Oryzias latipes: one gene and its partners. The protein of the gene in region 2 binds, or shares a complex with, the protein of the main gene of each other region. Links are inferred from orthologs where the notes say so. Each region holds a gene or a part of one and is shown on either strand. Other genes may lie near its edges. The genes, in order: ruvbl1, uri1, pdrg1, pfdn2, pfdn6, uxt and wdr92.

Region 1 (4,216 bases), on a different chromosome or scaffold from region 2:
TCGGACGTCGGTTTCCCAAAAATGTTGAATAAAAGACCAGGTTGTCACACGGACAACCATCGTGTTCATTTGGGGTTGTCCTCCGGGAAATCTGGTTGTCTCTGACAACAGGATAACTGCTTATTTCAAACGCTGCAAAGTTGTGAAAAAACGTTTTTTCTCTGCTTTAACAAACCCTATGTCTTCATGGATATAATTCCAAAACTATCTGGCTTGGTTGCCATGGTTCCTGTTGGATAAATGGATCGATTACACTCACCAATTGCCCTCCTGAAATTCTCCATCAATACTTCTGTTTTCTTTATCTCAGACGAGTAGACCTCACTGCCCACCATGGGGCAAAACGGAACCTTGTTCCCCAGCTCCTGAGCGATGGCCAAAGCCAGGGCCGTCTAAAGGCAGAAGACACACGGCGTCACAGTAAGAGTCTGCATGAAGGACGAGCGTTAGAGTCCGCCGGCATCTTCACTGATGCTTTACCTTTCCTGTTCCAGGGGGTCCTGCCAGTAAAATGGCCCTTCCTGCCATCTTTTTGGCCTGGATCAGCTCAACAATAATGCCACAAGCCTAAAGGGTAGAGAAACCAAAGAGAAATACAACATTTAAAGTAGGGCTGCACGATATGAGGAAAACTTGCGATATGCGATATTAGTGATCAATATTGCGATAACGATAAATTTGCGGTAAATAAACAAATAGAAAAATAAACAAAAACATCATTCCCATTTCATTGCAACAGTTTAAAAATTATACTCCAAATGACCCTCATCGACATGGGGGACAAACGTCAGGGTGGCTAACCCTGGTCCTCAAGAGCCTCAACCCTGTCTGTTTTCCAGTTCTCCCTAGACTGCTCGATAATGATAACCAAAATCAGGTGTGTTCAGTCAATCAGGATGTGAAATCACTTGAGTCAGCCAATCAACAGCAAGCTGGTTAAGGAGAGCTGGAAAACAGGCAGGGTTGAGGCTCTTCAGGACCAGGGTTAACATAATAGGCCTCCATCTGATTGGTCAACAATGGGAAGGCGTCCATCTGATTGGTCAAAGCATAAAGGGATTTATTTGATTCGTTAAATGCTTCAAGCTGCTAGAAGATTGTTTTAACACATTTTGGGCTTGCGATTTATTGCGATATTCGCCGTCTTTTGCGATATGCATATTGCAGAGCTGGATATTGCGATAACGATAAATTTGCGGTATATTGTGCAGGCCTAGTTTAAAGTATAACAATGAGGAAAAAGGAAAACTGTCTTTATAACTACGATGTTGAGTAAGACTAATAAACAGAAACGTGAAAGTTGCAGGTCGATTTGTTCTTTTGTGTGCCACAGGATGTATTATCAGATACATTGATATTGTTTTGGTGATATACATTTTTGCAGGACTCAAACTGAGATTTATAAATGTCATTTCAACGTCGTATCAAATCAAATCAAACTTTATTAGTGTAGCACTTTTCCCTCTAGAGCCCCTCAAAGTGCTTTACACAAAAACATGTTCAAATTTTAAAAATTTAAAGCAAGACGTTACATTAATATTCGGTAGAAATCCCATATAATGTCGTCGTCGCCCCCCCCTCCCCACCGCCCACTCAAGTTCACAGAATATGCTACCACAGGACCCCCCCCCCCCTAAAAAAGGCTTAAGAATACCATGATACTGGCCCTTTAAAACCAGCACAGACAATCTTGTTTGGGTAGGTAAAAACACAAACGGAAATTATTATTATTATCGTTTATTTTTTTAACTTTGCCAGTGCAGTGTTGATTTTAATTTTCCTTATAATAGGATGATTCTTAGGTAAGAATTCAAAACAGTGTTTAAGTGCAATCGGTCAGTTGAAACCTCCGACGCATGTAAAAACATATTTTAACATCCACCCAATACTGCTTTTAGAATGGAATGAAATTAAAAACTGAAGTAATACATCATGAAATTAAGTTGAAAATCCTGTTATGAACTTCTTCATCAAATAAAAATAAAATAAAACGTGTTTTAGAGGCGATTATCCTGCCTTGTTCCACTTTAGAGTCTAGAAAATACACTGCGATCTATATAATGTATTAGAGTTTTCTTTGCATTTTTAATTATTTAGCAGCCATAATGTAACAATAGCAAACAAAAAACACAAAAAAAATAATATGATGACTGTTTATTATGGTTCCAACAATTTTCCATTATAAAGAAATAACTGTCAGTGCTGTTAGTTCCATCCAATAAATAAAATTAAATAATCTACAGATCACATTTGACTTTATGACGGTTTTGATGTAGATTCTTTGTCGACTTACAAATGTGTAATAAGAAATATACCTTAGTTTGAGTTTCACATTTCGTTTTTCTTTCCCAATAAAATAAAAATTGTACCTGTATGATGGAAATATAATCAAGAGATTTCAATTCATTTTTTTAAATTTAATTTAAGAAATATATTAAATGAAATAAAAAAAATAAATCGCTACTTTGGAAACTGTGTGTTAATTTAACTAAGGAGGAGTCTCGCAGGTTATCTGAGAAGAAAACTACGCAGCTGTGCTAACTCAGTTAGCATCAGGGGTTAGCAATTTGCTACCGTGTTCTCATAGGAACTTATGTGCAAGTAATGTCTGAAGGAAAATAAAATACAATTGAAACAGAAAAAAGATGATTAACATCACCTCTCTGGCAGCCTCCTGTCCGACCAGTCCGCATGCTGTCTGTTTAGCATTGCCGGCCTCGTCTAGCCCGAGTCCCTTGACGTGACTGTGTGAAGCTATTCGCTGGGTCTTTGTGGTGCTTTTTACCTCCTCGATTTTCATATTTGCAAGTGTTACAGGAGCACTGGCTATAATACTGTCCAAGCCGCAAAGTAAAGTTTAAAAAATGTCACCTAAGTGTCTGCGTTTCTCTGACCACTACATGAGGCGCCAAAAGTCAAAACACGGTTTCCATGTGGGTTACCAGGGGAAAAAAGCAGGAATCGACACCCCTGAGGTACCGCCCATTTTAACTAGTCTGAAAACCATTGGTTTTCCTCATGATAAGAGCATTTCTGATTAGTCAATGTTCTGTCAATCAAAGTTGAAACCACACCCCTGTTTCCTCCTGTGCTTCGTTTTATTTTGTTGTAATAGAAACACACAAAAAAGGCCTCAGTATAAAAAACACTAATTGATCGATAATTTAAAATATTTATTTTATACATAGAAATATATTTCTGTGTTATATTTTTTTATTAAATTGTAATATTTAAATATCACATTTTTCTTATTTTGGTTTGTTCCCCGCATATAAACGTTCCGGTTCGTCTTGTAATCGGGGACGAAATAAAGTGTAAGCACCATAAACTCTGCAGTTTTTTAGGGACACTTTAGGCACCGAAAATGACTTGTTGATTTGACCAACTAACGCAGTGAACGTTATTTTTTTTCCAAATAACTATCAACGCGGTGCTCAGGTTTCAAGGTAGGAAAACGTTCGTGCTCGGAAACTTCGAGAGGATGTCCGAGTCTCATGACAGCCGCACGAAAACGTTAAATTTCAACGTGGGGGTCCTCGGACATGTCGACAGCGGGAAGACGTCGCTGGCCAGAGCGCTGAGCAGCACCGCCTCCACGGCTGCTTTCGACAAGAACCCACAGTCCCGGGAGAGAGGCATCACGTTAGACCTCGGCTTCTCCTCCTTCACGGTGGATTGTCCGGATCACCTGCGGGACGGCGGGGGCCTGAAGCCGTACGACAGTCTGCAGTTTACCCTGGTGGACTGTCCAGGCCACGCCTCTCTGATCCGAACAATTATCGGAGGTAACGTAAACCTGTGGAAGATCATGGATGGACTGAGCATCATGAAGGGTCAGGGGCTCAAGGTCCAACATTCCCAAGCCCTCCGAGGCATTCAGACAGTATGCAATGGTGGCAAAGGCTGTTCTGTTATATGATTGATTGATTGATTGATTGATTGATTGATTGATTGATTGATTGATTGATCACATCAGAACACACTGACATCCAGTGTCTGGTAGGGAACAGTTACATGGCCAATCTTATAGAGACTATAATATAGTCATTTACTTTTGACCAAAAACAGAGAACTTTTTCAAGCGGAATAAAATAAGAATAAAAATACAAAAATATGATGCAAAGAAACTAAAACAAGGGATTTATTTGGATGACTATTGTGGCAGTTTTCCAGGTTTTCATGGTTTTTATTGAGTTAAAATATATCATGAATTCAT
Region 2 (4,045 bases):
GAGGGACAGGAAATACAACAATCGTGGAGTTGGACAATCTGAATCGAGTAGCTGAACCTAAAGAATCAGTGTTTTATAAAAAATAAAATAAAACATTCACGAAGAAAGATGGCATAGCATAGTTGGGCTAGTAGAGATGCCAGAAGTAAAACTTTCCATTCACAATATATAAAAGGCGTCATGTTGTTGTTTGTATTATTATTATGATTATAATGATGATTATGATTATTATTATTGCTTTGTTTTATTGATCCATTATCATTATTTTTGTTCGGTTGTCAAAAAAAGAATAAATAAAAACTTGAATTATAAGAAAAACAACAATGGAGTTACGGCTCATTTTAAATGTTTAAACTGTTTTTCGTCCTCTTTTTCTGGTAAATTAAACTAATCGTAACATTAGTAAAAGGTTTTTCCACATGGTTCTAAAGTAAGCAAATGATAGTTAATTTTTAAGGTAATTGGATCTGTGAACACTGTGAATGTATAACTGCAATCCAGTCATCATAAATGATAATTTGAGAAACAGGTGTGTTGTGCTATTTGAACACCACAGATGCAGAAAGTTGTCACATTTCGTGTTTAACTAAAATTAGAAAAAGTTGAAGAAGGCCTGTAAGTCAGTATTCCGGGCTGCAGCTGTAAAGTTTGATCAAAAGTGAACATAAAACTGTGATTTTTGCTGTAATGACGTTATATTAAATGCCGACATCAAGAAAATGGATATTTTAACTAAAAGCAATAATTCGCTGTTCAAATCCAACAGAACATCCTTTATTGCATCTTCTTTCAACTATTTATAGTGCATCCAATTGCAACGCATGCAGACTAAAGTTTTTTTTTCTGAACTGACAGTTTAATTAAAGCTAGAAGTAATATTTTTTTTCTTTAACGTGTGTTTCTGTTTGTTAGTTTTTATACGTTTTAATGCTTGTACAGCTCTAAGTTAAGATTCGGTTTATTTTTTATGTTTCGTAAAATATTTACAATACTAAACATTTACCCAGAGTGCACTCTGGTAGACTTTTCTAGACGTCAAACAGAAATGACACGCTTGGTTTTCAAAGTAAGAGCGAACATTTAGATAACGTGTTAACATTTTAAGAAAAACACATGTAAGATACGTGATAACGAAGATTAAATTGGCATGTAATTTATGGTTTGGTGTTTTGGGAGAAACTTGCATAAAAAAACGTTGCCCACTCCAAGTCTCTTCCGTTCACGGGTTTTATTTTGAAACTAAAAACCGGAACAGCTCCCGTTTCTTCCCCTGTGGGTCGATCTGCACAGCGAAAGAAGCGAGGAGTTCTCTGCTAACCTCTGGATCCAAACTCGGCGGATTTTTTTGGAGATCATGCAGAAGCCGTGAAATGAGCGTGTGAGATGATATCACCTTCGGACGTGAGGATTACCGTCGATGCCCCGTTGATGAAGGCGCGCGGGACGGGCCTCCGGAGGAGCTGCTGCTGCTGCGTTCATAAACACTTCTTTAGGACTCACAACAAACCCTGAGCTTTGGTGCTCCTCAGAGCCCCAAGGCACCTGTGCACGTGCGGAGTAAGGATGGCTGGAGGAGGAGGTAAAGCGAACATGAAGCCCCTCGGCGGGGTTCACAGGCTCCGAGAGGAGCACGAGAAGGTAAGAGGAGCGCGTGAGCAGATCTGCAGCTGCGGGCCACGAGGCTTGTTTCCTTCTGAAAACATCCTCCTCTGCAGACATGAGCCGCAAATACGGAGAAAGAAGATTCGTTTCTTTTCTTTGCCCTGCTTCAGGTGAATTAGATCAACCCACAAGCCCCTCCCCCAAACCTTTACCTGAGCTTTTACTCCTGCAGGTTGTTTGGTTTCAGACTCCATGTTTACAGGCTGCCTTTGCTGCTAACTTCTGTTTTTTCTCTCTCTCTCTCTTTCTCTCTGTTTGGCTAATAAGGAACACAAAACTCAGTTTGATAGCATGAAAACATGTATGTTGTGTTGAACGTGTCATGTTGTTCATGAAAGCATTTTTTTCCTGCATCAGGTGGTGAAAGACTGTGACTCACGGATTCAGCATTGGTAAGCTGCACAGTCCTGAAAGTTTCTCCTCTTCTACGGTTTCCTCTCTGCTTTGAGTGTGAATGTGTACGACTTGGATATGAATGCAACAAAGACGCTCAAAGTTTGCAGGAGAATAACCCCCCTCCCTTTTTTTTAAGCTGCAGTCATGGATTTAGATGATCGCATTTTCAATTTTAGAACTTGACGGTTAAAGCTTCCCATATTATTTTCCTCATATGGCAAAGACAAAAGTTTTTCTAGGATTTAGCAGTCTATCGCCACAGCATGATACTTCCGCCACCCTGCTTTACCATGGAGACACGCCCCCACAGAAGACTAGTTTAGCTCCTAAACCGTCCCTCGCCCACAGTCGGCCCTGATGCAACATTTCCTTTTGTGGTCCGTTAGCAACTTCCATATTTTTGCAGAATTCTCCCCTTTTTCTTTGCTTTCTCTTTCATTTTCTAGGATGTATGAGAACAAAATAATTCAGAAAGATGCAAAAAACAAACCAGATCAGCCAATTTAAACTCCACTATCTGATGAGGTTGACATCGTTTACTCGCACCAGGCGAATAATCTTAAGAAATTAGGTAATAATTGGCGTTTATTTGTTTAGGGAAACGTTTATTTTTTCTGCTCTGTTTTTTTTACTATATAAACTATAAACTTTCAGGTTATTTTGTGAGTTATACTCTTGTAAAAATGTAGTTTAAATGCATTTAAATGTCCTTTTTTCCTTAAAGATTTTCAGCAGTCATTTATTTTGGTTTTGTTTACAGTCTTCATGAAGGCGTAAAAGTTTTTTTTAATCTCTAATGCAAGTTAATAAAAGTTAAGATGTTTTGGTTTAAAGTAGTTTTCCTTATAGATGATTGTCATTGCCCCCTTGTGGCCATCTGAGCAATAACATCCTTTAACTTTACTCATCATTTTATACCCAAATCGCATCAATTGGGTTAAATTCTGAATATTTCTGTGACCCGACCTGCAGGATGAAGGTGTCGGGTGATTACGACGCGCTCAGCGATCGACTCAAAACCCTCCCAGACCGGCTCTCCTATGACATCATGGTGAGCGCTCGCCGTTTCACTTGACAAGTTTACAGAGTGACCCAAAAACCAAAACTTTACTGGAAGTTCTGTGTCTCCCGTTTGCTCCATGTTCGCGCCCACTTCCTGTCAGCTGCTCTGACTAACCCGGTTCTGTTCTGTGGCCCGTCCGGGCCTCCTTGTGCTGTGAGCAGGTGCCCTTCGGCCCGCTGGCCTTCACGCCCGGCAAGCTGGTGCGCACCAACGAGGTCACCGTGTTGCTGGGCGACAACTGGTTCGCCAAGTGTTCGGCCAAACAAGCCCAAGCGGTGGTGGATCACAGGATGAAGCGTGAGTTTCTGAACGGCGGCGTGTGGCTGCAGAGCGGCGGCCTGTGGCTGCAGAGCGGCGGCCTGTGGCTGCAGAGCGGCGGCGTCTCCAGCGGGGGGCGGCAGTGCGTCACATTCCGACAGCCTGAGCTTTACTTTACAGACGTTTCTGGGCTCAGGATGAAGTACGTCTTTGTGTAAAAGCGTTTGGACTCGTTCTTTACGTCAGTGACGGCTGCAGGCTTAGCCCCCCCCCCCCCCCCCCCCCACCACCACACTTTTGTGGCCAGGTTATAGACCGCTATGGTCGTTTGGCGTGTTGTCCGGACGCTACAGCCTTTACCTCCACATAAAAAAACCCTCTCTGATTTGAACATTATTAGACTGTTTAGTGAAGCAGAAATGCCCCCCCCCCGCCCCCCCCTCTCCTGACCCCCGCCATCCCTGCTATTACACAGCTAAGTGCTGTAATGCAAACACAGCGAGCTGAAATGTGTCAGACAGCGGCTGAGCTGTCTGGCCTTCTGCGTTTGACCTTTCCTCACTTCCAGTTGATGCACTGACTGGAGGGGCTCGCCATCGCCATGGAAACAAGGGCCCTCTGCTGCTATTAGTGAAAGGGCTTAATTGTTGTGAAGATTTAATGATC
Region 3 (4,211 bases), on a different chromosome or scaffold from region 2:
TTTACACAAAAACTTCAGAGTCAGAGGAACATGGACATCCAAACATCTCCTTTAAAGAGAGTTTGGAAAGTGGACTTTGACCAGTCAGTACAGCCATCTTTAACTACTACAATTCTAGAAGATGTTTAATATAGATTCTGCTGCTGTCTACTAAAGGAAACAACTTTAAAACTGTAAATATAATAGATATGAACTTTATTAAAACAGTCCAGGAACCGGGTGCAAAAAAGGACATGTTTGTCATCTTTTGAACCTGCAGAAGTGTCCTGCACGAATCCCCGACAGTCCAACCGTCCAGCCAAGGTGCCTTTAATAAGCATGTTTAAATGATGTTTAAATGTGGCGCTGGAACTCAGGCCTGCAGCTTTGGCGCTTCATTCTCTCAGAAGTGACTCGAAACAGCCGGAGAATCAGGTCTTCAGGAGGCTGTTGATAGATTTGATCTCCTCAGAGGACAGTGCAGACAGTCTGTAGCCTCTGAGCTCCGGTTTACCTACAGAAATGAAGGGAATAGTTTTAGCTATTCAATAATAAAAGTTTAATTGATGAAACTTACTTTGACTTCTGAATGTTTGAATGAAGCGTCAGGGCATCTTTTCCACTAGTTGCTGTTGTTATGAGACAGTTTTACCCCTCCTGGTGCAAACATTTTACGGTACTTTATTTTAATTTGTTTGTATTTTACTAAAGAAAATGATAGCTCTAGAGACGCACTAATGATTAAAAAAAATGTTTGTAGTGACCTGGACACAGAGTAAAGGCTCCTGAACTGAGTGTCTAGAAGAGTGCATGTGCAGATCAGATCAGTCTGTAGGTGTGAGCAGGTGGAAAACATCTGTAGACTAACATTTCGCCTGCTTTTGAGTGTGCTGCCCCCTTGTGGCATTGGAACCTTACAGCAGCTCAGTCAGAGAAAATGCAAAGAAATCTGTAAACAAAGATATATTATGAGGTCTGCTGTTGTCTTGGTGTTTCCACTCTTAGCTTGCAGTATTTATTTGTGTCACCTTAGGACTCCGCAGTTACGCAACTGGCTTCAACCGGAACGACCGACAAGTACGTTGTGTAACTGAACTCTACAGAAACAGTGCAAAGCCCCAAATGAACGCTGTTAATTAATTTGTCTTGATATTTCACATTTTCACAAATGTCAGTTTAACATTTTGGAATTAGGAACCTATTTTAGCTTATTAACTTTTCTTGAGTTTTGTGAGTTTTCAACTTGTCAAAAGTAACATCCTCTGTTCCAAATGGCTACCAGTGTTTTACAGCACTTCTTTTCTTCCCAAAACCCCTTTATGTTCATCCAAAAGAGAAATGCAACACCTCTTCTCCTTCCAACAGGAGGGCAGGACCAGAGGGAGGAATCACGTTTCCCCTTCTGCTACACAGCCTGTAAAGCGTTTTATTAAAATTGTCAGCTTTAATTTTTCCTTTTTTGTTTTCTTATTTTGAAAGAGTTGCATACCTTGAATCTCATTGAGATGATTGAATTTAGTTTTCAGTTCTCTGCGAAGGTTATTTATTTCTTTATCCAGCTGTTCTTGGTCTGCAGCACAAAAGAAATACATTTTTATTTTTATGAATAAACACATAAAGCATGGAAGTGTGTTTTCTTTAAGGATTACCTTTCTGGACCATCCCTTTAGTTTTGGATTTGTCAAACTCAATAAACATGTTTCCAAAGCAAACCTTCACATTCTCTGCAAACAAAAACAAGAACATTAAGGCTGGAAAAGGCTGGGTTTGTTATTTAACAGCAGCACTTCTGACATATTTCATAAATGCAGCGATCAGGTTTTCCTTTCTTGCCTCTAAACATGACGGGACCCGGTCCTGCCTCACCTGAATCAGACAGCTCATGTTTGAGAGCGTTCAGCGCCTCCCTGTTCCGGTTTCTCTTCAAGTCCAGGTCCACTATCTGAAGAAAAGAAAAAAAAAAGAAAGACACATGAATTCATATTTACCTAATTTAGTATCCAATTTTTGGTTATTAAATGAAGAAAATGGGTCAAAGTAAGACCCTGGCTGGTGACAGCCAAAAAGAATATAAAGTGAACTAAACTAACAAAGACAGAGTGTCCATTTATGTCACAGATATTATGATCAAAATTTATAGTAGATTTTATGTTAAAAGAGAAATTGTCCGTGTTTGCTGCACTAGCTGCTAAAATATCCACTTGTAGTTTATAGAAAATTTCATTTGCAAATAAATTTCTTATAAAATCTTTAAAATGTCAAATAGAGCCAGATTGAAAGCAGAACTTTTGAATTTCTGTCTTTCTTCAAGAGTGGTATCAAGCTAATCTTTATCTAATTTCTTTTCAACTTTATTACGTTTAAGTAGAGGAAAACACTTCTTTTTTTGTTTACATCTCTGTGAGTGGAATTTCCCCAAACAGATCATCAATACAAAAAATATTTTGTTGGACACGCCATCTAATTCATAGTATAACATGACATAAAATATTATTTTAGGATATTTTTTACTCAATTTTGTGAACAGAAATTTCGATCCATCATGATCATCATCCAGGCAGCCCAACTTGAACTTCAGTATCACTTGTTTTTAAGCTAGTGAAGCGGTTCGGTGACCTCTTTGCTAGCTGAAGCTATCTATGTTAAACATGACTTTTGAAAAAAGAAACGATTTGCGGTTCGTCACAACATACCTGCTGTTTGGTTGTGATAACCTCCTCGGCTGCTTCTTCCACTTCTGTCAGGTAGTCCAGCACACGCTGCGAACCCGCATCCATGTTGGCGGTGTCGCATCTAAATATGTTCTACGAGAAACACAAGAGAAGGCGGAACGCTTCATCTTCTGCATTTTCTTGGCGGTAGGCAAACAGCTTGCTGGTCGTTACCGCCGCCAACTGGAGTGGAGTGTAAACCGGGATCTTTTCTTAACTTTCACGTTCTTACTTACATTCGAGTGGAATCTTCTCAAAAAATGAATTCAATCTTAATTTGCAAAAATTTCATAAATAAAAAAAAGCGCACATCGACCATTGCCTAAATTTACAGATACCTCAAACTTCATGTTCAACATTTCAAGGTTGTTTAAATTTGGATTTTTTTTTTTTAGTTTAAAAAAAATGTATTCATGTTTTAAAAACGTTCGAGTCTTACGTCTCAATCTAGTTATTGCTCTTTTCCTATCCTATGTTGTCCCGCTCTCATCATTTTCCCCTCTATTATTCCTTTGTTCCTTCTCCCAGTGTCTTCGTCATATTTCTTTCTCTCTTTGATTATGTTTTTATCTCTGCTTTGCTAAGACTGATCTTTAACTCAAAATCCTTTATTGGAAACTATTCAAGCACATTTAGTGGCTATTTCATCATCTTGTTTCTCTATATGAGCTGAACCCAGAAAATATCACAATGACCCGCATTGTTTTTAGTAACCCCCAATGTTTGCTGGAAATATCTGGTCTACTTTCTTATTTACAGTTTTTAATATTTGCTAATGATGAACTTAAGTCTGAACCATCTGAACATATAAGATTTCCCATTGGCCTATGACAAGCAGAATATTTCTGATGCCCATACAAACATTTGATTTCACTGCTTTTTTGGAAACTGAGGAGGCGAAATGAATAAACAGCTGTGTTTTATGCTGCGTATAGTATAAATGTTATCCAAATGTACATGAAAAGAGAGTTTACATTTTTTTGTCTCAGTATTTGCCCAAAGTAAAATTAAGTGGCTAAACCTGGACCACTGGTTCATTCATCTGTTTGCTTTATTGGGTGTGTTTGTATTTTTTTAAGTGTTAAACAAAATTTATTCTGATCATGTATTTAAAATTTAGACTTAAGCGGATGGGGGACACTGAAACATTAGACAACACATTAGATTTAAAAATATCTCAATCTCTGTAAATAAAATTCAGATTTTTTTCACATCTTCAGGTCAAAAACCTGAGAAAGATCCGTGCAGAAAGACAAATATAAAACCCAGGGTTGGGAAGCATTACTGCCTTCTGCTTGTAAATGTAGCTGTTATTTATTTTGACAAACCACAAGCTTCATAATCAAGTTATTAGGACATGAAAACAAACATTTTAAAAGATTTGTTGTTTAATTAAAAACATACAGGCTTGTCCATATTCCTTGACATGTAGCAGTTATGTAAACATACTGAAGGATTTTTCCCCTGAAACAGCTTCAAAACAATCATAAAATGCACATTTACAGATAGTTGATATCAAAA
Region 4 (3,324 bases), on a different chromosome or scaffold from region 2:
ATAGGTACCGATGCAGACCCAACTCAACTGAAATCCACCAAATCACAACACCACCGGATCTTCTGCTGCGACAGCGGCGCGTGTGGATGTGTAATGACCGTAATGTGGGGTTAAAGGACGCAGCCTGTTTTTGTGTTGACCGTTCTCTGTAGGTAAAATCGGTCGTACACGCGGTAATGAGATTTATGATGGGATTATACTACATAATAAACAGAATATCACAACAATGTATCTCTTCTGCAAAGTTTATTATACACAGACTCTGTGGAGAGTTGTCATGACGAGGTGGCCGAGTGGTTAAGGCGATGGACTGCTAATCCATTGTGCTCTGCACGCGTGGGTTCGAATCCCATCCTCGTCGGTTGATTTTTCTGGTCATTTTGGAAATATTTTACTTCTGAACTAATAATGAATTACAGAGCCCAATCTGTTTTCAAACTTACTTCCGTTAGCAACATTGCCCACAACAGCAAACAAATGAGAAAAATACACATATCATATTTTGATGTAGTAAATCAATTTATTTTACTGTACAAAAACAATGGAAGATTTCAAACGATATTAGAAAGGGGACATATAAAAAAAATCTCAGCCAGATTTCAGTAGTGATGGTCTGCTAATTCCAACAAACGGTTCTGCTCATGAAAAAGTAACATTTCTGAAGTAATGAGGTCATGTCCTGCATTGATCATTCAAGATGCCTTTAAATTTGTTTGAATTTTATTGTTTCCCCTTTAGAAGGAAATACATTTTATCCACCTCAAAATAACTGATATTTATAACAGCTGAAAAATTATACATGCAAAAAAAATTTGTAATAGAGGTGTAACAATGAATCGACTTAATCAATAAATCGATTTGTATTACTACATTCCAATCAGATCGATCTGAGGTATGTTGTAAATAGAGTTTAATTTACCTATACCATTATATAATCTGTCAAAAATTAAATAAATTGATTATATTCAATCTTGGAAAATACCATTTGGATTCAGGTATGGTAGGTTTATTTTACTATAACCTTAAATCAACCAAGTGCTTTCACTGCAAACAACACACATCTGATGGCAGCAAAAAAAGATCAGTCCATCATTCCAGTCCAATGGGTGGAAACCCTTTGAGTTTAGCAATAACTTGACCATACAGTGTGGTAGAATGTTCTAATAATGTTTTGTTTGTATTATGTTGATGGGAAAACAAGAGTGGGCTGAACTTTATGAAGCTAAAATATGAATGGATTTTTCCATTTATTCTTATATACTTCTTTGTTTGTTCAAATATTTAATGTACACTTGATTTTCTTGCAAGAAAGACAAAGAATTGGGAAAACATTACCTGCACTGTTTAGCACCCAGGTATTTATTCCTGAGTCACTCTGGTTGAATTTTTGGCTAAAGATGTTCTGGATCAATTTTAGGTCAATGTATTGGAATGTTCAAAATGAACCAATGTCGACTATAAATTGCATCATCAACCACAAATTATGATATGAATCGGATCGTTGTTAAAATCATTACACCCCTAGTTTGTAGTCTTCCAAAGCAACACCGTAAAGCAAGTTTTCAGCCGTTGAAATTTAATAAGGAAATTTAAGACGGTATTTTTGCCATCAAAAAGAGAAAAGGCAAATGCATAATAACCTCAGATGACACATGTTAGCATTCACAAATGGACATACAGAGGAAGAACAATTTGACATTCCAGCCAATCCTTCTTCAAACTAAGTTTTTCAGTGATGTAAAAATCAAATGACCCTATTGACATTGTTCATCATTACAGACTATGACACCAGAACTCCAGCTCCACTTTTGGATCCTCCTCTTTCACTGTCTCTAGAGGATGCTCCTGACTGGCCCTGACCCTCTCCTTCTCCCTCTCCCTCTCCTTCTCCAACCAGCCGGATGTTGTAGCGTTCCCTGTACTCTGTCAGTTCTCGGCCTTTTGCCTGCATCTGTATATTGATGGATTCAGTTGCTTTGGAGATCTGTTGGGAGAGAGAAAGATAAATGGGAAATTTGTTTTAATAAATTCTAGATTATAGGTATTTTACTATTAAGACTCAAATCATTTTATGTACATCAAAAATATAATTTCTAAGAAAGTATTTATAAAGCAAATAAAAAATAGAATAAAATCAATGTCTGTAAAGATTTCCAGGGTAATGTTATCACAGGATTCTGTTGTTCAGAGTGACTTGATTGGAACTAGAGGTAAGATCGGGCCTAAAAAATCCAGCCCAACCCGACACAGGCCCGCGGGCATTAAAGGCGAACCCGGTACGAACCCGACCAATTAACTTGATTTGCAGGCCTGAACCCGAAGCAAACCCGAAATTTCAATTTATCCCATAGTATTTTTGACAGAAAAAAAACGCCAGATTTCTTAAAGTTAAAATAATTTACATATTTTTATGATCATGATAAATGCATTTACACAACGAAATAACGCTGGAACACAGAATAAGAGGCCAGACAAAGAGAGTGAAAGAGAGATCTTGATGCGCACTCGCTTCATTACGCGGAGAAATACTGCAGCCGCTGCAGTGCGTGTTTGCCTTTTCAGTTCCCCTGTCTGAAGTTTATCCTTGACTTCTTGCTGCTCCATATCGGGGATACCTAAACAAAATAGATGCGGGCTTGCGGAGGGAAGATTACATTCACGACACGTGCGCAGAGCTGCGGGTGGCTGGCGCCCCCCTCGTTCTGCCAGTTGCTGGACCACAGTGTATGTCAATCAACGGTGGGCTGGTGACTGGTGGGAAGGGGCGGGGTCTGTCTGTGTGTGTGTGTGTGTGTGCATTCGGTGAACGTTCTCCCTCTGAGTAAGAAGCTGGCTGTGCCTGTGCCGACCCAAATTTCGGGCAAATCAAAAAAAAATTACCGGTAGGTTAGAATTGCAGTTTAGTTTCTTTATTCAAGTTTTTATAAATCAGGAGCAGACAAAGAAATTCAATTTGAAAAAGAGCATATTTGTGACGTAGAAAATACACTGGGTGAGCCACAAACACTCTGCTCTGCTCCATTCTTATACATCAACTTGTAGACAAATAGATCCATGTACATCTTTGTTTTCCTCATCTGAGCGGTCACCTGGCTCAAAACTGGGTAGCTGAATGGCTCCAATATTGCTCACCATTTGTGGTGTCATGTTAGGTTGAGGTTGTGAGGGGCTGTAAGCTAGCGGGAGAGAATGTTAACAGATAGCTCTGTTATGGGTGACTGGATGGGGGGGGGGGGGGGGGGGGGGGGGTGTTTGCTCTGCCCTATTGGTCCTCCCCACAATTTAGAGGTGAATTTCTAACAAACTCCAGCCGCGCTACAAAAA
Region 5 (4,039 bases), on a different chromosome or scaffold from region 2:
CTGAAGTAACCAAAGCACGTGACCAGTATTATAAAGAGAAGTCTAAGAAAAAATACAATTTTAAAGACAGAAAAAACGCTCAATAATAATCTCCAACAGGATGAATGAGCTGCTGTAAAAACAAAAGACTTGTTTTTACAACACAGTACAGAATATCAAAGCTAATTCTTGTTTTAACTGAAGAAAGAATTACCTATAGAAAATAACAGGCAAAATACTTGTACAACATAGATATGTAAATAAATAAACAAGAACCTAAAATAGTGTGACACAATCCTCCTTTTGATTAATGCTAAAGTCATTTTTGACAGATTTAAGATACAAACTGCTTTACGATTTCAGTGTCCGACGTTAAAAGATGAAATACAAATGACACTAGGGCTGCACGATATGAGGAAAACTCGCGATATGCGATATTGGTGATTAATATTGCGATAACGATATAATTTGCGGTATATAAACAAATGTCAAACCAACCAAAAACATAATTTCCATTTCAATGCAACAGTATAAAAATCATACTCCAAATGACCCTTGTCGACGTAGGAGGCAAACATCAAACATAAAAGGGCTCATTTGATTGATCAACAGCGTAAACGGGTCCTTCCGATTGGTTAAATGCATAAAGGGATTTATTTCATTTGTTCAATATTTCAAGCTGCCATGAGTTTGTTTTAGCACACTTAACCCTTGTGCTATCTTAGATGACCCCCCCCTTACATTGACGTGTTCTCCCTACCATGACAAAGGTGGACAAAGGTGGAAAGATTTCATGTAATCCATGGACACCAGTGAAGATCACAAATTATTGAAGAAAAATTGTTCAGTGCACTGTCTAGTGGGTCTAGATGACCCAACTCCCAATGTTAAAGTGCCTAGGATAGCACAAGGGTTAAGGTAACCATTTATTGCGATTTTCGCCGTCTTTTGCGGTATGCATATTGCACAGCTTGATGTCGCGATAACGATAAATTTGCGGTATATTGTGCAGGCCTAAATGACATAATGAGACGATAAAAGCTAATAAATAGGTTAATGTCAGAATATTTATTCACAATTACTATTCATTTGTTTAAAATAAATGATAGTTTGTATTAATTGAACAAACAATTTAACAACTACAAACATAATGATATGAAATATAATATTATGGGGAAAAAACCTGTCCAAAAGTATCTCAGATGCATGGACAGCAAATATAAAACTATTTTAACTTTAAGAACATGTAAATATTATATGACATAATTAATTTAAGGCCCCAAACGGACAGCTGTGGGATCCCATTTATTTCTTTTTTGAAGGTACAACCAGCCAAGGTCAACTTTTATTTCTGCACAACCCTTTTTTCATCAGCCACTTTTCATCTTCCATTAATTTAAAAGAAACTATGAGTACAGTCTTTATTATATATTAATGTAAAAAAAAACACAAGCATATCTGTGACATGCATCTGTTTTCCCCAGCATAAAGTGTGTCACAGTAATGAAAAAAAGAAATATTTCTATTGAATGAAGCAACATAATACCTGATATAATCACTTAGCAACACTGTTAATTTAATTTTAAAGCAAAAGCTGTATTCATTTTTTTAATATATTATTTTATTTCCCCCAAAATTTGACTAATTACTCATCTGGGGCACATTGGACCCCATTTATAATGTAAAGATATAAGATAGTTTTCTGTCTGCTAAAATGTCTATATGTTTAAATACTACAATTATGGGTTTCAGGTCAAAAATTAAGCCTTCACCTTTCAACTGTCAGTCTTAGGATATAAGATTGTATCAGTAGAAATTGAATATTAAAAGGTTCAAGGTATGGCGTAAATTTAAGGCAAATTATGTGATTCTATATTCTATAAAGACAGCTTAAATCAGGTGTTCTCGTCGTGCATTTTGTTTCTCTATTTATTCAAGGTAGAACTCAGAATTTGTGGTCAAAATTTTACCATGGCGACGAAATATGTTCAAGTCTATCCTGAATTTTCAGAACTACCCATAAAAACTAGATTTCCAGCTTCTGTGGCTGATATTTCATTACAAATAAATGACTATAAACGTCTCTGCTTATAGTAAGTGCTATATATTATAAACTAAAGCTTGAAAATATCATTTTAACTAGGGCATCCCATACATTTTCTTTTGTATTTCTTTTCCTTACATTTCTCCATTGATGTACTCCAGTCTTTTTGTGACCGTGGCCTTGGCTTCATCCAAGTCTTGCTTCACTAAAACTGGACCGATAAGCTTGTAAATGGTGTTAGAACTGTCCAGCAGATCGAGCTCCTGGAAATATACAGGTCACATCTTCAGTCAAACTGAACATAAAGATATCTAATGGACAAAAACATGTTGTTAAGGGTTAGGCGTGTACCTCTTTGACTATGTTGTTTTCTGTCAGCTGCGTCTCCAGTTTCTGCCTGACGGACATACTTTTACTCACATCTGAAAAAAAAACAGACATTTGTAAGTTGTATTTCTTTTAATACGTCAAATCTCAAAGTTACTTTAAATATTTGAAACATGGGTGCAGGCATGGCTAACTAACTGCTGCCCGATGGTAACAACATCATGGCACACTAGCAGCTAACAGGTACCTACCTTTCTGCACCTGCGAATATTTTTCTAATTCCGCTTTTAATTTCTTTTGAATTGCATCTGCCATGTTTTATGACTTGTTTGTAATAACCGTGTAAACGTTAAATAAATGTATCTAGAGGTTTCAGAGCTAACAACACAGAATGGGAGAACTGCGCTAGCTAACCGGAAGGAGCGACGGATTTAGCGGAAGTTGTGAAAGATTCACTGCCATCCAGAAAATCGGAGTTTCCGCAGTCGTACAAGAGAAGAGTTTTATCAAATATTTTCTATTTCTGTCCAATGTATATCATATTAGATGAAGAAATTGCATGAAATTTGAAAAATATCTTATTTGATTAGGATTTTTTTGACTTAGTAGTTATACACACAAGTTATTACATTATTCTCATAGTCGAACAATAGAAGATAATAGATATTTTAAACTTTGAATTGCACACATAACATTTAAAAATAAAATTAATTGCTGCCACATCTCATTCAAAAAGGTATGGATAAATCTTGGTCCACCAGCTCTGATCAGTCTAAGGGGATCTCCAACATGGAAAGAGTTGATGTCCTCTCTGTATTAAATCATAATAAATCATGTAAGGGGCTAATACCTGGCATCAAGCCACTGACCTTCAAAAATCACAAGAGAAATGAAAATTGGTTTTAAAAAAAAAGTGAGACGGCAGTTGCCCAATAAAGTGGTGGACACTCAGGGACTGTGACCCTAAAACTGGGAGAAAGATTTAAGATCAACTTTATTAATCCACTTTCAAGATCAACTTTATTAATCCACGAAGGGAAATTTGAGAAAAGCGATTCTTCAACAATAGTTTTGCCTTGGTTTGCTTTACATCAATAAACAATAGAACCTTGGAAGGTTTAGTAAGTCAGATAAGTAAGTTGAGGAATAAATGTTTGTATGGACCCTTTGTGTGCGTGTGTGTGTGTTTGTTTGAACAACTTGTTCACCTCTCGGCAGATCCCGTCATTTGTCACCACAGTGGTATTTTGATTGGAAATAAATTGTAGTATTTGTAGTATCATTGTTTTAATGAAAAATCTAAAATGCAAAAGTGGTAAGTAGTAGTAGTAGTAGTTGCTGTAATGGTAGTACATTTGTATGGGTTTTTTTTTTTATTAAAAATCTAAAATACATAGCAGTTGCAGAACTAGCATCATTATTATTTGAACAAAAACCTAAAATAAACAGTAAGCCTGTGGTAGTAGTAGTAGTAGTAGTAGTAGTAGTAGTAGTAGTAGTAGTAGTAGTAGTGGTCATGGAAGTAGTATCGTTTTGATGATTCAAAATCTAAAATACTTAGTAGTCGTATCATCATGTTTTGAACGAATTTCTAAAATACACAACGAACGCTGTTACTGATGGGAAGATTTTGGTTTTAATTATGCAATGAAAAAAAATTAGACAACCACACATCACAGAAAATCAACA
Region 6 (4,029 bases), on a different chromosome or scaffold from region 2:
TGATGCAACGACATGCAGATTGTTGAATTCACTTGCACAGCAATTCAAATGAAAGGCCAGAAAGAAAGTAACAATTCTCTTGCAATTTTCCAAATAAGTCCGGCAAGCGCTGGACTTTTTTCAGTACCGTCCCAGTGTAGGTACCATAACAGTTCGGCCTGCAACAACCGTTCAGGGTCCTTCGACTAGTGCTGACGTCACATTATGTGATGACTGTCTGTTGGTCCAATGACGTGTCAGGTAGTGATTGGTCTGGACAAATGACAATACTACCATAGAAGAAGATATTATACGGTCCGTTGTAAACAAACAGAGCTCCGACACAGAGCGACATTATCTTCTAAACGTGCTTTTAATATTATGATTATTATTAGGTGCATTGCAGATGAATGGACTGCGTTCAGAACCCTTCTCCAGACCGCACACTATGACAAAGCAGCTTCCCTGCCTGTAAACACGAAGCTACGAGACTCCAGCTGCTCTGCTCAGAGACAGGGTTCACTCTGTGGAGCAGCAGGTTCATTCTAGCAGCCACAGATCTTTACAAAGGGGGTTGTGGCAAAATCTCTATAAACACTACAAAGAATAATGTCAGACACAACTTAAGAGGGAAAAGAACTTTATGTTATAAAAGGAAACGTGAAATGAGAATATGTAGAGCCCGAGCAGATCTCCACGCTACGTAGTTTGTCCAAGTGGGGCTACCGTAATGTGACATCATCCTCAGTCGAAAGGACCCCAAACGGTTATTGCAGGCTGAATGGTTATGCTACCTACACCAGCTGCTGTTGAACAAAGGCGGCTAAAGCCTGGACAGTCTGTCCCAGGGCCCATGGAGCTGGAGCGGTTGATCTCACTATGCGGCTCCCAGGAGGCGAGCTGGGGGCCAGACAGAGACCTGCTGCAGGATGGGGAGCCAGCCTGCTCTGACCTCCTGAACTTTAGGTTTTCTTTCAGGTCTCTCTATATATAACATATATATAATCTCATCATCCTCTCCCTCATGGTGCAGAGACCTAAGCATAGTAGGACAAATAACTGGGCAAAACACAATAAAAACAGCTAAACAACTAAACACATTTGGTCAAAAAGCCACACTTAAACCCAAATCCGTCCAGACAGGCAAAGGGAATGCTATCCCACAATCCCTTGCGGTGCCGATCTAACAGCAGCACCAAAGTTACACCTACTCAATTGAATTAATTTGAATGAAAGTAAAATAACTGTCTGACAACTATGTGTTATTTTTAAGTTGACTGAACTGAAAAAAATTATTTATCTTAACTGAAGCAAATAATGAAGTTAGATCAAAGTAAAAAAGTTTATCTTTCCAACATCCATATGTGGTCTTATCACCCTCTCATGGTGTAAAAAGTATTATCTGAGCTTCTTCATCCACTAAATCATCTTCAAATGGACACGCCATGCTGCTTCACCTCTCTGTAAACAAACTAACCTTCAACTAAACCTGCTCCAGACCAGGTTATGTTCAGAGCATGAGTTGCTATGGCAACTTGACATAACCTGAAACATACCTCTATTTCTGGAACTGAAAGCTGAGGTTATCAACTTCCTTAGCCTCAAACGTACCGAGGGAGCTAGCATAACCTGCTTTCTTTTTTTTTTTTTTTAATAAACTTTATTGAAGATATACAAGATACTCATTCAAGTAAATTTTAAGTACACAGATAAAAAAAAAGAGTAACAAAATGTGCCAGGGGAACAAAAGAACAAAGGAGAAGAAAGAAGAAAAAAAAAATTATAAACAAGAGCAGAAAAAGCAGTAAGTTGCTATTCTGTACATTTAAAAAAATTCCAGGGTGTCAAAGGTTCTTATAGCTTTGGGGTTGGAAGAATGTTTTATTGCTTTGATATATTGGTTCAACTCAATCATAAAAAGTTTGAATAAGGGCTTTTTTTCAGAAAATTTGCATTTATGTATGTGGAATTTGGCTAGTATTATCAAAAGGTTAATTAAATAGTATTCCCTTCTTAGTGAATTATTAACACTATAAAAACCAAATAATATATCCTTGTATACCAAATCAAATTTTTCATAAATTTAACATCGAACAAAGGAGGTAAGGTCTTTCCAAAAAATTGCTGTTGGGGGGCATTTCCAGAAAAGATGTATAATTGTTTCAGTGTCTAATTTACAAAAGGAGCAATTTTTATCAATGTCTATGTGTAATGAGGATTTGGCTGGGTAGCATCTGTGAAGAAGTTTAAAACAAACATCCCGGGGTTTATTTGAAATAAAATATTTAGAGGACAAAGTCCAAACTTTCTTCCATTCAATATCTGGGGCAATTTTTCTCCAATAGTGGGTGCATAACCTGCTTTCTGGAATACTCCCCTGGGCCTTTGTGACGTCACAACACCGCATTAGTTCAAACAGAGCGTCTTTGAGACAGTTTGATTGACAGCGGTTTAAAAGGAGAAACACTCAGAAATGCAAAAATGAAACCATGTCTAATTCCATTTGTTGTATTTCATAAGACAAATACCACAATGTCACAAAACATGATTTTCATCAGAGGGGGACTTTCAGAACCGGAGCAGAACCCAGAGGGGCTTACCGCAGGTCTCTCCTCAGAACTTCCTCGATGAATCTTTCATACTGAAGGACCTTCTCTTCCATCCTCGAGTCAGAACCGGCGTCTGTGGGCGGAGTCATCGGGGATGGGGGGCTAATGCGGGGGCTCTGCGGGCCGGTTCAGCTCAGACACTTGTAAAGAAGTTCACAGCCCCACATGCAGTCATCTAAACAAGATTCTGAACCGGAAGTACTCCGACAAGATACTTCCAGGTTTCAGCGTAGAAGAGGAGCAGAAAAAAGAACATTTAATTTCTTTTTATGTTTAAAGCACTTTGTGCAAACAGTTGTTATTTGGTCATTTTCACTTACATTTATTCTTCCATATTCTACCAGATATATAGAACGTGGCAATTATTCATAAACTAATTCCCGGGTTAAACCTTATGTGAATATGAATTTTAAAATATATATGTTTTTGTTTAATGGCTGGTTGTGCTAATTTTATTTATTCTTCTTCGTTGTTTTATTTTCGTTGATTTGGATTGTCCTGTGATGACGTCACTGTCAACAAACATGGCGGAGAGCTGCGTTGACTATAGTTGAAACGTTTTCAAAATATCTCGTCAAGTGCCAAAGGACAGCGCACATTTGGTGTCGCGTACATGTCATCAGCTTTACGCATCAAGTAAATATCCAGCACTATACTAAATATTCAACGATATACTAAAGTTTCGTAGTTTTATTTATCAGATGTGACCGAGGCAACATCAGCGCCCACTTCCGGTCTCGTTCCGTTCAAAATGTCGTGCTTATTTTGGTTGGACGCGCCGGAGCCCCGCTCTTAAAACCCGTGGACTAAAAACCGTTAAGTAAAGGAACAAGTCCAAGTCCATAAAGATCCCCGCTGCAGCTGCAGGGGTCCTGGATGATCATGGAGCAGTACAGCATCCTAGGCCGGATTGGAGAAGGGGCTCACGGAATCGTGTTTAAGGCCAAGCACGTGCAGGTGAAACATGTTCATGGAGCAGAAAAAACAGACACCTGAACAGGTGATCATTCAGGCTGATGGATGAACGTGTTTCTGACAGACCGGGGAAACTGTGGCTCTAAAGAAGGTGGCTCTGAGGAAGCTGGAGGACGGCATTCCCAATCAGGCTCTGAGGGAGATCAAGGCTCTGCAGGAGATTGAGGACAACCAGCACGTGAGTGTGTACAGTCGTGGTCAAAGGTTTGGAGAATGACGTAAATATTGTTGGAAATTGGAAAATAATTGCTGCTTAAATACATATAATAGCATTTTGCATATACTCCATAATGTTATGATGATCAGATGAATTGCATAGTCCTTCTTTGCCATAAAAATGAACTTAATCCCCCAAAACTCTTTCCACGGCATTTCATTGGTGTCATTAAAGAACCAGCTGAGATCATTTCATTCATCGTCTTGTTAACTCAGGTGACAATGTTGACGAGCACCAGGCTGGAGATCA
Region 7 (4,162 bases), on a different chromosome or scaffold from region 2:
AATGTAGCCTCATGTTTAGTGCCAAAATATGTGATGAAAAGGCCGACAAACAGCTAAAAGTTTAAGTATTTGAAGACATTACAAACTTCTTTTACATCAGTATTTACAAAGAATGTGCTGAAAAGGCGATACATAAAAAAAACACAAATAAATAAATAAATAAAATGCTGAAAATACTACAGATGCTAAATCCTAACGTCAGTAAAGAGGCTAGTTTTAGCTAAAGAATGTTGAAAATGCAAACGGTGTGTTGAAATTATTTTAATTAATAAAATTATCTAATAAATTTTAAAGTGTTAGCTTAATTAGGAGCCTCAGTCGTATATATATATATATATATATATATATATATATATATATATATATATATATATATATATATATATATATATATATTATCATCATATATATAATCATCATGTATATGGACATACGTTACTCTGAAAGGCTTAAGAAAAGAATGATTCAGGCCCTTGAGGCACTTAAATAATAAAACAAAAGCCAAAACAAACTGAAAAGTTACATTTCACTACATATGTGAAAGCAATGAAATAATGAAATAAAAATAAGAGATAGAAATGAGAAATAGTGTTGGTTATGCTCAAATTGTTCTGAACATTGAACGTTTGAATTTGTGAATTTAATGTTCACCTTCATTAGAAAAAAAACATTTGATCAGTTGATCTTCCAGCTGAGCAAAAAACAAATGTTTGCAGCTCCTTTGTGAGCAGACTGGCTCCTGCTTCAAGACATTTGCAGCAAAACAGTTCTGTTTGCTTTGACTGCTGTTGTTTTTAGAGGGATGCTGTCTCTTTCTGGAAATGCTAAAATGGTGCACCTGACTGAGTCCCCAAAGGTTTGTTACCTTTTCAGAAACAGAGGCAAAGCCTTTGGTGTGGTGCTGCGTCCTCATGTCAAACACGTGGAACCGGCCCTCCAGAGACGTGGCCACCAGCTTGTTCATGTTGATATCTTTCCTGTCAAACTCCACGCAGCAAACCTGAACGTAACGCAGGAAAAAGGAATCCCAGTGAGAACCCACACAGAATCACAGCATCATTTATGATCACGCACATAAACGAGTAATGTCCTCAGCCCACCCCGTTCTTGATGTTGGTTTCCCATCGCAGAGACATGTTCCTCAGGTCAAACAGCTTGACGTCTCCGTTGTCGTAGCCGGCACAAACGCATCGGTCCTCTTGGTTGAAGGCGTGACCTGAAATCGTTTTAAGAAAGCCGGTTATGAGGCCAAACGAATAAAAAACAGGCTTTCACAAATTTATGAAGGATTTCAAAAAGTTCTGTACTGTTGTACACAATTATAGAATGTTATAGAACTTTATTTTACTAAAATAAACAGCAGGATGAAGATAAATCATATTTAAGCCAGAACTGTGGCATAATTCACAGTGTCAAAGGCTTTATGGTGTCAAACAATCACAACCCAATGACGATTTTGATTCGTAAGGAACAAATGTGTCTATATTTTCTGCTATGCTGTGTCTGATTACATTTTTGGTGCCTGTGGACAAATTTGGTTCCACCCTTCTCTGCAGAATTGCTTTATTCAATCACATTTTTGAGGATTTTCAGGAAAAATGTTCGTTTATTTAAATTAACCGGAACAAATTTGAACGTTTTGACACTTCAGAACCCTTACGGTGATCCATATGACTTTAGTGATACCTCAGCATGCTGTAGCATCAAACTGAACTTCACCTTTACCATCTTTTGTGGTGTCAAACAGGGACTTTCCTGTCCTCTGAATAGGTAGCATTATATCCTTATGGTTTAGAAGTGAAAACTTTTATTTTGAAAATTCTGCTCACCGAATGCAACAGTCCAGCAGTCCCTCCTGGTTTCCCCTTCAAGTGGTTCCATGTTGGCCACAGGCCAGTCTCTCTGTCTGGGATCCCACACCTTTACTGTTCCTGTGAAAACCCAACAGAACCTCAGATCCACTCTTGCTGTTCTAACTGTGTCTTGCCTCTATGGCCTTCACCATCTCTGCTGCCGGTCACTATCTCAGGAGCGCCTTCTCCGATTCCCAGACCTCCGACTCCGTCTATACTGTTGACTATTTCCTTATGGGCCTTCACAGAGTACACAGGCACATCAGCAGCCTCTAGATTCCTGTCCATGACAAATCTGTTCAGAAATCACCTCAGAAAAACACAACACATGGATTTTTGCAGGAGAAAATGCAGACAAAATACCAGATATTTAGATTTCCATCAAAATCCCCGGTTGCTATGTGTCTGGTCTGCAGGGAAGATGCCCCAAACGTGCCACACTTTATAGGTTTGGGTTTCTCGAGCTGAAAAACATCACAGGTTCTTATATTCTTAGCACTCAATCTGTGTTTGCTGGGTTAGGGTTGCCATGGCTACAAGCGAGAAAACCTTCTCTGGACAGCTCAGAGCAGCTCGTTGAGGTTAAAGGTGAAAGATTTCAACATGAAGACATCAGTGCACCTCTTTAACAAGCTGTACTTCTCCGTGCTGCAGCTCGTGGATCTGGATCACCCCGGTTCCTCTCGGAAAGTTGCCCAAACAAACAAACTTGGCGCTGCAGGGGATCCACTTACAGTCGAACACAGTGAAGTTTAGACCCGTGTGAGCATGCGCGATGATCTGAGGCTTTGACAGCGAAGACGACATATTCACCGAAGCAGAAAACTACGATTTAAGCGAATAAACCAAAGCAAACATCGAACATCAAATAGAACTTTGCGCTACAGAAAATCTACCAAAATATCAACGTTAGGTCCTGACTTTATAGGTGCCCACAAATATGCCTGATTTTCTCCCGATATTTAAAAATAAATACATTAAATTATTCTTAAAGCACATACATAAATATTTTTTTTACAGTTATTTGGATTTAAAAAGCGGGATGGTGATTAAATTACATTTAAATTGTACTTTTTGATACACCTGGTAATAACATTTTGTTTCGAGCGTCGACGACGCCACCCTTGGGGTCCTTTTCAGTGCACGAGGGCAATCTCGTGCGTCCCCCCGTTCAGTCCACACCACCCTTTTAAGGACTTTATTAAACTTTTAAAGACTGTATTTTGCCATGGACGCCAGTGAAAGCGGAGCTACGGCGCCGGAGAAGCACGATGACGGGGAATCGTTTACGAAAGTGAAGTCAAAGAAGAGCCAGAAGAGAAAACTGGAGCCAGACGGAGGCACGACCATGGAGGTCGAACAGCCAAATAAACGCCCGCATTTTCCACCCATCTCAGCTGACAAACTACGGGTATTTACAATGTGTTTTCATTTCTGCCTCTGCGATTTCACGGGTAAACCACAAACGCGAAACCGACTTAAAAACGCTTGTTTTGCCAAAGCGCTGTTCCTTTAAATATTGAGATGCTTTGCGCATGTGCACAAGTAGTGAAGCAAGGATGGGCGATACCAAATAACGTATTTGTTGTTTTTCAAGTTTTTCTTTACCGATATTAATATATTCTTGCACCAAATTACAAAAATATTCGTATGTTTTGCTCTTTTCTATATAGAAAATATTCTGTACAAGATTTACTTTACACGAATTTAAAGTTAGAAGACATAAGTACATAAATAAATGTTAATACTTTTGGATGTATGTCACGTTTGTGAGCAATACTTTTCCCATGAGTCAAGTAGTTTATATTTAGTGTAATTTAAGAATGTCTCTGTCCGTTTTTAATAAATTATAACGGGAACTGTCAAGTGTATCTGACATTTGATGCGGCCCAATAAAACATTCCTGCAGTGTCTCCTTATGGACAGCGGGTGGCGCACGTGGGGCCTCTTTGATTTCTTCACACTGTTTAGCACTTTTAAAAGTGCCAAGATGTAATGTCTTTTACCACTTCAACTTTTTTTTTTTACCTAAGGGCCTATGATGACTGAACTTGGTATTGACGTCTGATTGGTTCCTGGGATCACGTGACCCTAAGCAAAATACTCCTGGATAGCTCTGCACAGACGGATCTCTACTATCTATAATACCACAGAGCTTCTCTCCAAAATCACTTTTTGTTTATTATTAGAACCATTTTAAATGACATGCTATTTAAATTTAAAAATTAACAGTATGCTGTTTAAATCAAACTACTGGATAAAACAATGTCCTTGGATGGCAATAAAGAAACCATTGAATCTCCTCTCCT

What was found.
Region 1: uri1 (region 2) and ruvbl1 share a complex: the UniProt entries of both Homo sapiens proteins name them as parts of the PAQosome complex. The link is inferred for Oryzias latipes from reciprocal best matches to the Homo sapiens genes URI1 and RUVBL1.
Region 3: uri1 (region 2) and pdrg1 share a complex: the UniProt entries of both Homo sapiens proteins name them as parts of the PAQosome complex. The link is inferred for Oryzias latipes from reciprocal best matches to the Homo sapiens genes URI1 and PDRG1.
Region 4: uri1 (region 2) and pfdn2 share a complex: the UniProt entries of both Homo sapiens proteins name them as parts of the PAQosome complex. The link is inferred for Oryzias latipes from reciprocal best matches to the Homo sapiens genes URI1 and PFDN2.
Region 5: uri1 (region 2) and pfdn6 share a complex: the UniProt entries of both Homo sapiens proteins name them as parts of the PAQosome complex. The link is inferred for Oryzias latipes from reciprocal best matches to the Homo sapiens genes URI1 and PFDN6.
Region 6: uri1 (region 2) and uxt share a complex: the UniProt entries of both Homo sapiens proteins name them as parts of the PAQosome complex. The link is inferred for Oryzias latipes from reciprocal best matches to the Homo sapiens genes URI1 and UXT.
Region 7: uri1 (region 2) and wdr92 share a complex: the UniProt entries of both Homo sapiens proteins name them as parts of the PAQosome complex. The link is inferred for Oryzias latipes from reciprocal best matches to the Homo sapiens genes URI1 and DNAAF10.

What each region holds. Positions count from the first base shown.
Region 1 is NC_019863.2:3,775,258-3,779,473, reverse strand, and holds the start of ruvbl1 (ruvB-like 1), read right to left. Parts: upstream 2,801-4,216; coding exon 2,660-2,800; intron 568-2,659; coding exon 481-567; intron 393-480; coding exon 260-392; intron 1-259. Other genes in the region: eefsec (selenocysteine-specific elongation factor), read left to right, coding at 3,482-3,785. UniProt on the Homo sapiens protein: Possesses single-stranded DNA-stimulated ATPase and ATP-dependent DNA helicase (3' to 5') activity; hexamerization is thought to be critical for ATP hydrolysis and adjacent subunits in the ring-like structure contribute to the ATPase activity.
Region 2 is NC_019864.2:30,476,798-30,480,842, forward strand, and holds the start of uri1 (unconventional prefoldin RPB5 interactor 1), read left to right. Parts: upstream 1-1,245; 5' UTR 1,246-1,563; coding exon 1,564-1,638; intron 1,639-2,019; coding exon 2,020-2,054; intron 2,055-3,030; coding exon 3,031-3,109; intron 3,110-3,282; coding exon 3,283-3,418; intron 3,419-4,045. UniProt on the Homo sapiens protein: Involved in gene transcription regulation. Acts as a transcriptional repressor in concert with the corepressor UXT to regulate androgen receptor (AR) transcription.
Region 3 is NC_019863.2:18,202,525-18,206,735, forward strand, and holds the start of pdrg1 (p53 and DNA damage-regulated protein 1), read right to left. Parts: upstream 2,801-4,211; 5' UTR 2,757-2,800; coding exon 2,673-2,756; intron 1,922-2,672; coding exon 1,846-1,921; intron 1,704-1,845; coding exon 1,629-1,703; intron 1,550-1,628; coding exon 1,469-1,549; intron 1,394-1,468; coding exon of another isoform or gene 1,368-1,393; exon of another isoform or gene 1,327-1,367; intron 494-1,326; coding exon 411-493; 3' UTR 1-410. UniProt on the Homo sapiens protein: May play a role in chaperone-mediated protein folding.
Region 4 is NC_019876.2:18,978,092-18,981,415, reverse strand, and holds the end of pfdn2 (prefoldin subunit 2), read right to left. Parts: intron 1,985-3,324; coding exon 1,781-1,984; 3' UTR 501-1,780; downstream 1-500. UniProt on the Homo sapiens protein: Binds specifically to cytosolic chaperonin (c-CPN) and transfers target proteins to it. Binds to nascent polypeptide chain and promotes folding in an environment in which there are many competing pathways for nonnative proteins.
Region 5 is NC_019868.2:26,685,013-26,689,051, reverse strand, and holds the start of pfdn6 (prefoldin subunit 6), read right to left. Parts: upstream 2,801-4,039; 5' UTR 2,666-2,800; coding exon 2,602-2,665; intron 2,446-2,601; coding exon 2,375-2,445; intron 2,287-2,374; coding exon 2,162-2,286; intron 1-2,161. UniProt on the Homo sapiens protein: Binds specifically to cytosolic chaperonin (c-CPN) and transfers target proteins to it. Binds to nascent polypeptide chain and promotes folding in an environment in which there are many competing pathways for nonnative proteins.
Region 6 is NC_019865.2:33,765,944-33,769,972, forward strand, and holds the start of uxt (protein UXT), read right to left. Parts: upstream 2,801-4,029; 5' UTR 2,678-2,800; coding exon 2,580-2,677; intron 1-2,579. Other genes in the region: cdk20 (cyclin-dependent kinase 20), read left to right, coding at 3,465-3,545, 3,628-3,741. UniProt on the Homo sapiens protein: Involved in gene transcription regulation. Acts in concert with the corepressor URI1 to regulate androgen receptor AR-mediated transcription. Together with URI1, associates with chromatin to the NKX3-1 promoter region.
Region 7 is NC_019873.2:11,204,358-11,208,519, reverse strand, and holds the start of wdr92 (WD repeat-containing protein 92), read right to left. Parts: upstream 2,801-4,162; 5' UTR 2,661-2,800; coding exon 2,475-2,660; intron 2,318-2,474; coding exon 2,217-2,317; intron 2,134-2,216; coding exon 2,003-2,133; intron 1,932-2,002; coding exon 1,830-1,931; intron 1,217-1,829; coding exon 1,101-1,216; intron 1,001-1,100; coding exon 866-1,000; intron 1-865. UniProt on the Homo sapiens protein: Key assembly factor specifically required for the stability of axonemal dynein heavy chains in cytoplasm.